2 linked regions of the Xenopus tropicalis genome follow. The protein of the gene in region 1 binds, or shares a complex with, the protein of each later gene. Links are inferred from orthologs where the notes say so. Each region holds a gene or a part of one and is shown on either strand. Other genes may lie near its edges.

What was found. Proteins that work in one complex are often made in the same cells at the same time.
Region 2: lsm8 (region 1) and lsm2 share a complex: the UniProt entries of both Homo sapiens proteins name them as parts of the precatalytic spliceosome. The link is inferred for Xenopus tropicalis from reciprocal best matches to the Homo sapiens genes LSM8 and LSM2.

Annotation. Positions count from the first base shown.
Region 1 is NC_030679.2:68,680,032-68,685,062, reverse strand, and holds the start of lsm8 (LSM8 homolog, U6 small nuclear RNA associated), read right to left. Parts: upstream 3,424-5,031; 5' UTR 3,298-3,423; coding exon 3,267-3,297; intron 1,058-3,266; coding exon 1,017-1,057; intron 1-1,016. UniProt on the Homo sapiens protein: Plays a role in pre-mRNA splicing as component of the U4/U6-U5 tri-snRNP complex that is involved in spliceosome assembly, and as component of the precatalytic spliceosome (spliceosome B complex).
Region 2 is NC_030684.2:75,102,487-75,107,326, reverse strand, and holds lsm2 (U6 snRNA-associated Sm-like protein LSm2), read left to right. Parts: upstream 1-1,432; 5' UTR 1,433-1,570; coding exon 1,571-1,573; intron 1,574-2,037; coding exon 2,038-2,105; intron 2,106-2,588; coding exon 2,589-2,619; intron 2,620-3,503; coding exon 3,504-3,563; intron 3,564-3,680; coding exon 3,681-3,806; 3' UTR 3,807-4,139; downstream 4,140-4,840. UniProt on the Homo sapiens protein: Plays a role in pre-mRNA splicing as component of the U4/U6-U5 tri-snRNP complex that is involved in spliceosome assembly, and as component of the precatalytic spliceosome (spliceosome B complex).

The sequences.
Region 1 (5,031 bases):
CCACCAGAGGGTTGTTTGGCATCTCTGGATGCTACTCTCAATCACTTTCCATTTAGATTTAAAGTTAGAACAAGACAGGGAGAGAAATGTGTGAAGTGTCAGTGTGTTTTTGTTTTTTAAATTAGAATATTTCATTTCTATCTAGCCTCTCTGCAATAAAGAATGCCAGTACTTATACTTTAAAATATAAGGTTACTACTACAAATCACCTCAAACATCTATGACCTCTGTTAAAGCCAACATGTTAGGCACCCCATAGATCATAGATCACACATCTCTGCACACTACCACAGAGACCCTATGAATAGACCTTATTGTAGCCTCCCATGGCCCTTTTCTTTCATTTAGGATCCATAGTTCCTGACTACAGGTGAGGACGGGAACATTGACCAAAAGCAATATTCAAGACCTCAGCACCTACTTTCCTACCAGAGATCAGTACAACACAACTGATACTGACTAAATATTTTCATTACTCTCACACTCTAGCTGTTCCATCACCTGTGATCAATATTCCAAATACTTGAATTTTTTCTAAAGAGGAAGAGTCTCCCCTTCATATGGTATTGAAGGAGCTGATCTTTGTGAATGTTACATTTTACTCAGCTGAAAATAAAGTGTGAGTTAGAGATCAGGATTCACTGAGCCCCAGACAAGACATCATCATAAGCAAAATAAAAAAGCAGCTCCTTAGGATCATTAAATCCTTCTAGATATGGCTATGCATTCACTTTGTGTAGTGCTTAAAAATGCAGCTATAGCAAAGGTTGAACTTGCCACAACCAGAACTTCAGGACCAAAGTGTAATGTCAACAGAAGGTGAAAAATGAGCATCTGTACCTAGCCAAGCACTTTGATACAAAACACAGTACAGATAGAAGCACTGCTTCATTAGATTTGCTTATTCTCCTCCAAAGGATCTTGGGCCTGGCTCCACCTACAGATACATGCTGAGGAAATATATGAATGTAATTCTAATAGCAAATATTAAGCAAGTAAAGTAAATAAATACTTACCACAATCATTCTACCATCTGATGTAATTACAGCTACAGTTCCTGAATCTTATGTCAAGGAATTATTTTAATCTGTAAAACGTTATCATAAAAAATATAGAGCACCATTTTCAAAGTGAAACGAGTTCTTTATAATGCATCATCTACTGTAATGTGTGCGATTCCCTTAACTACAACATATTCACATTTTCTCTAAGGTTGGACAATGGCATAAAACACATTACAGGGTAGTCAGGCTACAGGGGCCACAAGTGAAGTTAATATTACGAATTTTTGGACCATGGATCCTTGAAAAAATAAAAAGTCTACTTCAACACCTCATAATATAATGTTGGAAAAAGCATTTTGAAGTTTGCAAAAATTATTTTTAATGTATTCAATTTTGTATCCAGAAGTGCAGCTTACATTCCCGTCTCTTCTAACATGTAATTTATATTACTCTGGGAGTCAGCTTTGTAACCCAGAATTTGGTTTAGAATGAAGGATGCCTCCCTCCTTTAATTTACTATTTATTGCATATCGTCAGTATACTGTATAGTGCCCAATGGGGTACATCACTCAGCTTAAGAGCCCCCAGGGCTGTGGAGTCAGTACACAAATCCTCAGTTTATGATACCTCTGACTTCCGGTACCCAATATTGCTTATTGCTCTAAGATCCCCTGTTGTATATAATCATGCAAAATGTTTTCTCCACTTTTGCTTTTAATGCATTATATAAACCTGTAGTACAGGTATGGGATCCCTTATCCGGAAACCCGTTATCCAGAAAGTTCCGAATTACAGGAAGGTCATCTGCCATAGATGCCATTTTAATCAAATAATTCCGATTTTTAAAAATGGCTGCTCTGTAATAATAAAACAGTACCTTGTACTTGATCCCAACTAAGATAGAATGAATCCTTATTGGATGCAAATCAACCTTATTGGGTTTATTTAATGTTTAAATTATTTCTTAGTAGACTTAAAGGAACAGTAACACCAAAAAATGTATATATTTTAAAGAAATTAAACTATAACGTACTGCTGCGCTGCATTGGTAAAAATTGTGTGTTTGCTTCAGAAACATTACTAGAGTTTATATAAACCCTGGTGTGTAGCCATGGGGGCAGCCATTCAAAAGAAGAAAAGGCACAGGTTATACAGCAGCTAACAGATAAACCCTGTAGAATACAATGGTGTCTTATCTGTTATTTGCTATGTAACCTGTGCCTTTTCTCCTTTTTTCCAGCTTGAATGGCTGCCCCCATGGCTACACAGCAGTGTATTTATATAAACTATAGTAGTGTTCCTGAAGCAAACACCCGAGTTTTACCATTGCAGGGCAACAGTGCGTTATATTTCAATTACTTTAAAACACTTTCATTTTATGCTGTTACTGTTCCTTTAAGGTAGGAGATCCAAATTACAGAAAGACCGCTTATCCGGAAAACCCCAAGTCCAGGACATTCTGGTTAACAGGCCCCGTACCTGTAATAAAACGCTATACTGATGTACTGAAAAATTCTCACTTTTTTTTATTGAAAAATGAAATACTTTTCCTACTAGCCGCACAATAGTGTATTACTGTATATTACTGAATGTCAGTGCTTCTGGACCACAGCAGTTTTCCTACTAGAGTTCTAATTTAACATAGAATAATATAGCCAAGCAAATGTAACATAGGCAAACCCGTGCTCCATGTATAATATCATCCCCTCACTCCATGTATAATATCATCCCCTCGCATTAGATTTGAGCATTTCACACTATAGGTAAGTTACAGGGGGAAAGGGCACTAACAGGCATTCATTTAAAAGGGAGGTTTAAAATGAATACCACCTGTTATACTTTCAGCTGGCTAAAAAATAAAAAAACAGACGCTAACTGGTAATTGGTTGCTAGGGGTTACAGCCCAGGTCAACATTGGCCCTGTGATAAGTAAGTCGGGGTTCCCCCAGGGAATACAGGAACCGGACGATAAACTGTAATTAAAGCTACTTAGGACCCTCAGACGAATGATGAAGTAACATGCATCCCCCACATACTGTATTTCTCTAGCACAAGTCGCTTTCCAAACAATAGCCCCCAAGCCGTGCTAGGCTACATTTCCCACAATACCCCGGTATCAGAGAGTTGTAGCAGCCGAGCTCAGAGAGCAGGGGAGACTGCTAATCTGCATGTTTATTCTGACCGTCGGGTTAAAAGTCGCACACCATAGGTTCTCAGTGCAAGCCCTCCGCATATTATGCCAACAACCCCAACAAAGGATACGGTTGATATAATTCTCCAAAGCTGATGCCATATTGGAATCGTATCCGCTGCAACTACAAACACACGCGCAGGAAATCCACGGCTCTAGCGAGGAAATTCTACGTCATTGTTAGGCGACTGAGCAAAGCCCCGCCCCTTAGTGAAAGGAGCAAGTGCGCGTTATCTGAAGTTTGCATTCATTTTGTGCGTGTGTGTGTGCGTTGGTTTCTTAATGATAGCGTATTTCTGAGCTGGGAAGATAATAGGAGGGAATATTGTATGGGAAAATGCTTTGACTCCAGTTATGATGTTAGATAACTAACGTTTCTGATGTGGTAAAGATCGCATATGTAATCAGCGCCGAATCCATTGTAAAGGGTTTGGTAGAATACCTAACTGAATCCGAATTAGCAGGTGCTAATTAGGTTATGGAAGGGTTAAATCTTCATTAGCATATGCTGATTAGGTTACGGAGAGGTTACATTTTCAAAAGGCCGAATCCTGGATTCAGTGCATCCCTAGTAATCAGGTTTATTTTGGAGAGAGAAACCTATTGCTAGAAGTGAAATTATGTTTTTGAACCATGGGTTAAAGCAATACTGTCATGGGAATACGTGTTTATTATATAATTAATAATAACACATGGGGCTAGCCATTTCCTTACTAGTCCAGGTGGCCCTGCTCTAAATACTTGTCTTTTTTTACTGCTGCACTGCAAGTTGGAGTGATGTCACCCCCCCCCCCTTCCCTTTCCTCTGGTGAAGGATTCAGCTGCCTGAACTGATAGTGCCTCCATAGGCTAATAGCACTGCTTGTGCTGTCTTGAGTTTTAGGGGCACATTTACTAATCCACAAATGCTCCGAATGTGTTTTTTTCGTAATGATCGGTATTTTGCGATTTTTTTCGTAAATTGTCACGACTTTTTCGTAACCATTATGATTTGCGCAAATTATCGCAACTTTTTCGGAGCCGTCGCGCCGAGTACAAAAGTTTCGGATTCATTCAAGCTTCAGTATCATGACTTTTCTTGGGCCAGGTTGGAGCTGTAGAGTACCATTGAGTCCTATGGGAGGCTTCCAAAATCATGCAAAGTCTGAAAGGTTTGCCCGCCATTTACGAGCGCTCAATACAAAAAAGTTGCGACAATATACGAGCAAATCGTAACGGCTACGAAAAAGTCGCGACAATTCGCGCAAGTCGTAATGGTTACGAAAAAGTTGTAACGGCGACGAAAAAAATCGCAAAAAATACGAAAAAGTCGCAAAATGTTCGTTTTCCAATCTGAATTTTTCCCATTCGGATTCGTGGATTAGTAAATCAGCCCCTTAGTGAGCAGGTAAACAGGCAAAACTGCCTATACTCCATCCCAATAATTTAAGGTGGCTTTAGGCATTTCTCTGCCAGCTAATATACACTAGCTAATATACACTAGCCACACCTAGTGGTTGATATGACCCTTAAAGTCACCTAAAATAAATGGGTGTCAGTAATAACGTCTCCCTACTTAATGGACTGGTAGCAACAAAAAATTAATGTTTTATGTGCATTAAGAGGAGACCCAGACTCACGAGGGGTTAGGTACACTGTAGAAATGATGTTTTTCTCTAAGTCGAGTGGCCATTTTTAACCAGCTTAACCAAAGTGATCGTCTGGGAGAGGTGCTTTGACAGACTGGAGTTTAGCACATTTCGAAAACCCCAGGTACATTTTATCCCATGTTGGGCAAACTTTCATGTGTATATATAAGATATACATATTATATGTGTACATCCATTTGTGTAAGGA
Region 2 (4,840 bases), on another chromosome or scaffold:
CTGTGGGACCTGTGCGCTTGCAGGCTTGGGTGGGAGGGGTAGAGCTACAAAACAACCTGGACAGGCGTCCTAAGGTGCACCAAGTTCCTCCAGTCTCCTTGTCTTGTTTTGTCCTGAGATAATTACCATTTTTAAATGAAAACTGCAATGTCCCTACACAGACCAATATGGAACCGACTTATATGAAGGGTAAATTAAAGGAGACATATTTGATAAATGGGGAAAACCCTAATTTTGTAGGCAATTATGAATAATATACGGTGCTGGTTTCCCTTTGGGCTAAACATTAATCCTATTTGTAAAAATGGCCCCTTTATTGGAGCTCCCTATAGATCCTCTCTCTTCTCTGACCATGTTTGAAATGAAGAGTGGGCGTGTCCTAACGGTCCCTGCAAGAAGCACAGTAGGAGGGGGAGAGCCAATCACAGACCTGCACTCACACAAGCAAAGACAGGCTTCAGTTCCCTATCAGGTCAGCCTAGCTGCTGATTGGTTCCTATCCTACAGTGCAGTGTATAGAGGGCCGCTGGCTCCCCAGCTCATCCAGAGAATTCAGCCAGCAGGAAGTGGAGCAGATGGGGGGGACTAGTGGGGTTTTGGGGGAATTTCTCAATAAATCTGTCTGAAATACAACTTTTTTAAGCACATTCCTTCTATATCTAGAGGAGTATAATTCACTGGCACATTCATAATTTTTATAGGATATGTCTCCTTTAACAGTAACTAGCCCAGGTATGGACAGCGTAACTCCTTTTAGCTATCTCGTAACCCTCATGCCTTGTACCTGGAGTTGGTAATTATTGGTCCTTAACATTACAATTGATGTTTGTTGTGCAAGAACTGATAGTTTGTGTTTGTGGGTCAGAATGCAGTTCCAGCCTCTGTAGTTACACCTGGAATCCAAAGTTGTTTAATAAACTGGTACAAGGGACATTTTCTCTGAGCAGAAGCTCAAAAAGGGCAGGAGGTGGGCAAGTGACAAACCAAAGGTTAGGGATTAAAAAAATACAAAAAAGGGATCCAAAGAACAAGGAGAGATAAATCTGATTCTTGTCTGACTGTCGCTAGTTTGGCCCTAGGTTAGAATTCTGCTGGCAGAAGAAACAATAAAATAAAAAAACATTTTAAGGTTGGACATTACAGATCTAATGTGGAGTGCCTAACCTTAATATAGTTCATTTTTATTCTACTGTTTCATAAACTAATCTATACTTTGTTACACTTAGTACCTGCTCCCAGTTTATAAAACCTGTATTTTTTTTAACGTATTTTAGTTGTTCAGGGATAAAATACGTTTAGGGGACTTCTCAAGAAAGTTACATGAAAAAAATGTTTTCTGTCCTCGCGAGATCATGATTGCGTCATCACCGTGGGACCCATTCATTCGGCCGGTGCCTGAAGCCGGCGCGCAAATTCCTGCTGCTTTAAATTCTCGCGAGATTTATGCAGAGGCGCTAGAGCGGTGAATGAGCGGAAGGCATTTGGTGTGTAGATCTGTCGTTGTCAGCGGCGTCTGTTTTGTTCTTCAGTTTCCAGATAGAGCTTGGGTGGTGCGACTGCAACAGAAGCAATGGTAACCGCTTAAGAACACTAGCGTTCCGTTACTGTTTCACGTTTTGTAGGGTAGAACCTAAGGAGTCGATAGCCATGTATTTTGTGGTGTACCAGCGTATACAGACCTGTTTGGCAATCAGTCCCCCCCCCCTATAGTCGCAAGGTCAGCTTTCTGAGTGGCCATGCCCTGCTTTGACGTTCCATGTTTTGCCTATACCAGGATTCTGGGATTTGTAGTCTTATAGCAGTGGGAGGGCTCGAATTTGGCCATCCCTGCTTTGCAACAACATTTCAATCATTTGTAACCTGATGTTAGTTGGACAGAACAACTTGTCTGTCTCTGTTATTGTTTGTGTCTTATGAGAGAACATGCTTTGCCTTGATCTGTAAAGGATCTTGGCAACATTTGTTATGTGATGTGCCTTGGGTAAGCTACAGGAGAGGCAACTGGTTTTTATAACTACTTGTTTTTATCATGTACAGCTATTCTACTCCTTCTTCAAGTCTCTTGTAGGAAAGGATGTGGTGGTAGAGCTGAAGAATGATCTGAGGTGAGTGTTTTGCCCCATGTTCTTTCTAGAATTGCTTCCCCCCCCCCCCCCCCACATGCTATACAGTCAGGCAAAAAGCTGCCACTGGTACATTTCAAGAACCTAATTTCTGTACTTTAAGGGATGTGACACACGGGGACATTAGTCGCCGCGCAACAAATCTTTCTTGTTGCGTGTCGACTAATCTCCCTGTGTGTCACAGCCCTTAAACCTAGTGCAGTGTGTGCAGTTGTGCTTTCTGCACTTGTGATGTGCCCAACACAAAAGAGGTAAGCACGGTGGGTGCAGCAGCACTTAGAGTCCCCCTGACCATTGTCAAACTTTAGAGGGCAGAGTGTATTGTGTAGACAGAATTTATAAAAACATTTTCTTGTGCTCCTGTAGACTTCACACCCTTAAATAACCACTTCTTTACCATTTAGCCATCTTTCATCCATTTAGCCTTTTGTTGCACTATTACATAAATGGTCTTATCTCTTGCAGTATCTGTGGTACTCTACACTCAGTTGATCAGGTAAGTAACTGAGCAAATATATAAATGTAGTTTATTTTCTCAGCATAATTATCAGCTCAGCCATGTTGTCACTTAAGCCTTGCAACTGAAATTGGCATAAAATCTTTCAGTGCCAGGGAAAAATGTTGGGTTGGCAAAAAAAAAATGAAAAAGTGAAAATTTTCTTTTAAATGACTTTACCATTACTGAAATTTCCACAACGCTAGGTTAAATTAAACCCTAGCAATCAGATAGCGCCTACAATTCCAAAATGGAGAGCTGCAATAAAAAAAGCTAAATTTAATTAAAGACTGCGATAATGAAGACTAGTTGCAAATTGTCTCCAATTATCACTGTCCACATCATACTAAAAGTTCATTCAAAGGTGAACAACCCCTGAAGGGACAGAGCCTTTAATAAAATGTACGCATCCTGCAGAGTATAATGTCAAACCAGGGAATATTTATTAACATAATTACTACAAGATTCTCCAAAGAGAATATTGCTCATATTTTTTTTTTTTTATACCCTAGAGGGCTTGTTTGCATAGAGGAATATCTCTGCTCTACCTGTTATCGTAGTACCTTTTCAGGTGTCTGGTGCTAAACAGTCTGTAGACCCACCTGCCCAGGGTCAAAGATGCTGTAGCACACTGATCCGTTATTGTGGTTGCATTAAGTTGCACCGACTCTTGCAATGTTTTGGGTCACTCTCAGACTGGCTGAAATGTTCCCAGTAGATGTCTGCTAATTAAGCCAATAAATCACTTTATTTAATGTGTGATCAGTGTGCTACATCATCTTTTGCATTCTGCATAGAGGAATATGTCTTGGAATAGAACTTTTGGGGGGAACTTGTGTTTTTCATTATCTCAAACAAGATTTCACTTTTTTTTTTTTTTATAGTATTTGAACATTAAGCTGACTGATATCAGTGTAACAGACCCAGAAAAATATCCACACATGGTAAGCTTTTTTTTTTTTCTTTGTATTTTTTATCTGCACCAGTAAACTAGATACTTAGCTTTTAATCCTGCTTTGAAACACTTGTTAATGTAATTATTTAAAAAATTTTTTTTTTAGTTGTCTGTAAAGAATTGTTTCATTCGGGGATCTGTGGTCCGCTATGTACAGCTCCCTGCTGATGAAGTAGACACTCAGCTTCTCCAGGACGCTGCACGGAAAGAAGCTGTACAGCAAAAGCAGTGATGTACAAGAGCTAGAAGGATGGAAGCAGGTTCACAAGCAGCACTAGGTGTTGTCAACTGCCTATATTTCTATAAGGCCAAATATAGGAGTGAGCAGCAACTTGTTACCTGTTATACAGGTTTTGCATTACATTTCTGTAAGAGACCCACACTTTTTTTTCTCATCCTAGTTCTGGAAACTTTTTTAAGTGCAGTGACTTGTGTGTTCACTTTAGAATCCAAGCAATGCATTTTGCTCTGCAAAGAAGTGGTCTCAGATAAGCAGAGTTAATTGGGAAAGACTGCCCTAACTTTTTTTTTTTTTTACTTAAATAAATTTTGTGTTAAGTCATCAGCTCATGTTTTTTTTTTTTTTTAGTGAAGCTAGTTCCTTCTGTTTGTATCTGCCTTTCTTAATTTTGTCGTAATATGATTTTTACTGGTTTAATTTTTTTTTAATATGCGTATGGTAAATTTAACCCATACCCTGAATTTGAAAAATCAGAAATTTTCCACATTGAAGAACAGAAATTTATAACATTCTGTTGTCCAGAGCTTTAAAGTCATATGACTTATACCACATGCATAAAGCAGAGTTTTTATGAATTGCTAAAGTGCAAAGACCTTACTGGCCTACATAGAATCTTTACCTAAGCCCAACTGAAATGCCAAATGAGAATCTACCTTTCTGTTTGTCTGTGTTTGGGAGCATAACTAAATGTGTGCAGTGTTTAACCTTCTAGTGGAAAGCCCTTCTCAGCAGCATCCAAGCCCAAGACATTAACAGAATCTGCCATCACAACATCACTGTTCTTACTGAAAAACCACCTACGCTGCTTCAAATGAAAGTTAATGCTTGCACACTTTTTAGAATGTTATAAATACACCTATTCTAGGCAACTTTTACATTATTTTGTATGGTTTTTATTAGCCTTTCTGTTTTAGAGTGCAGCAGACAATGTTTGAATCACTGACCCAGATGGGCTACCGTTGCCCTGCTCAGAAGAACATATAAGGCTTGATATGGAGTGCAAGATTAGTGGTCACTTATCCAGC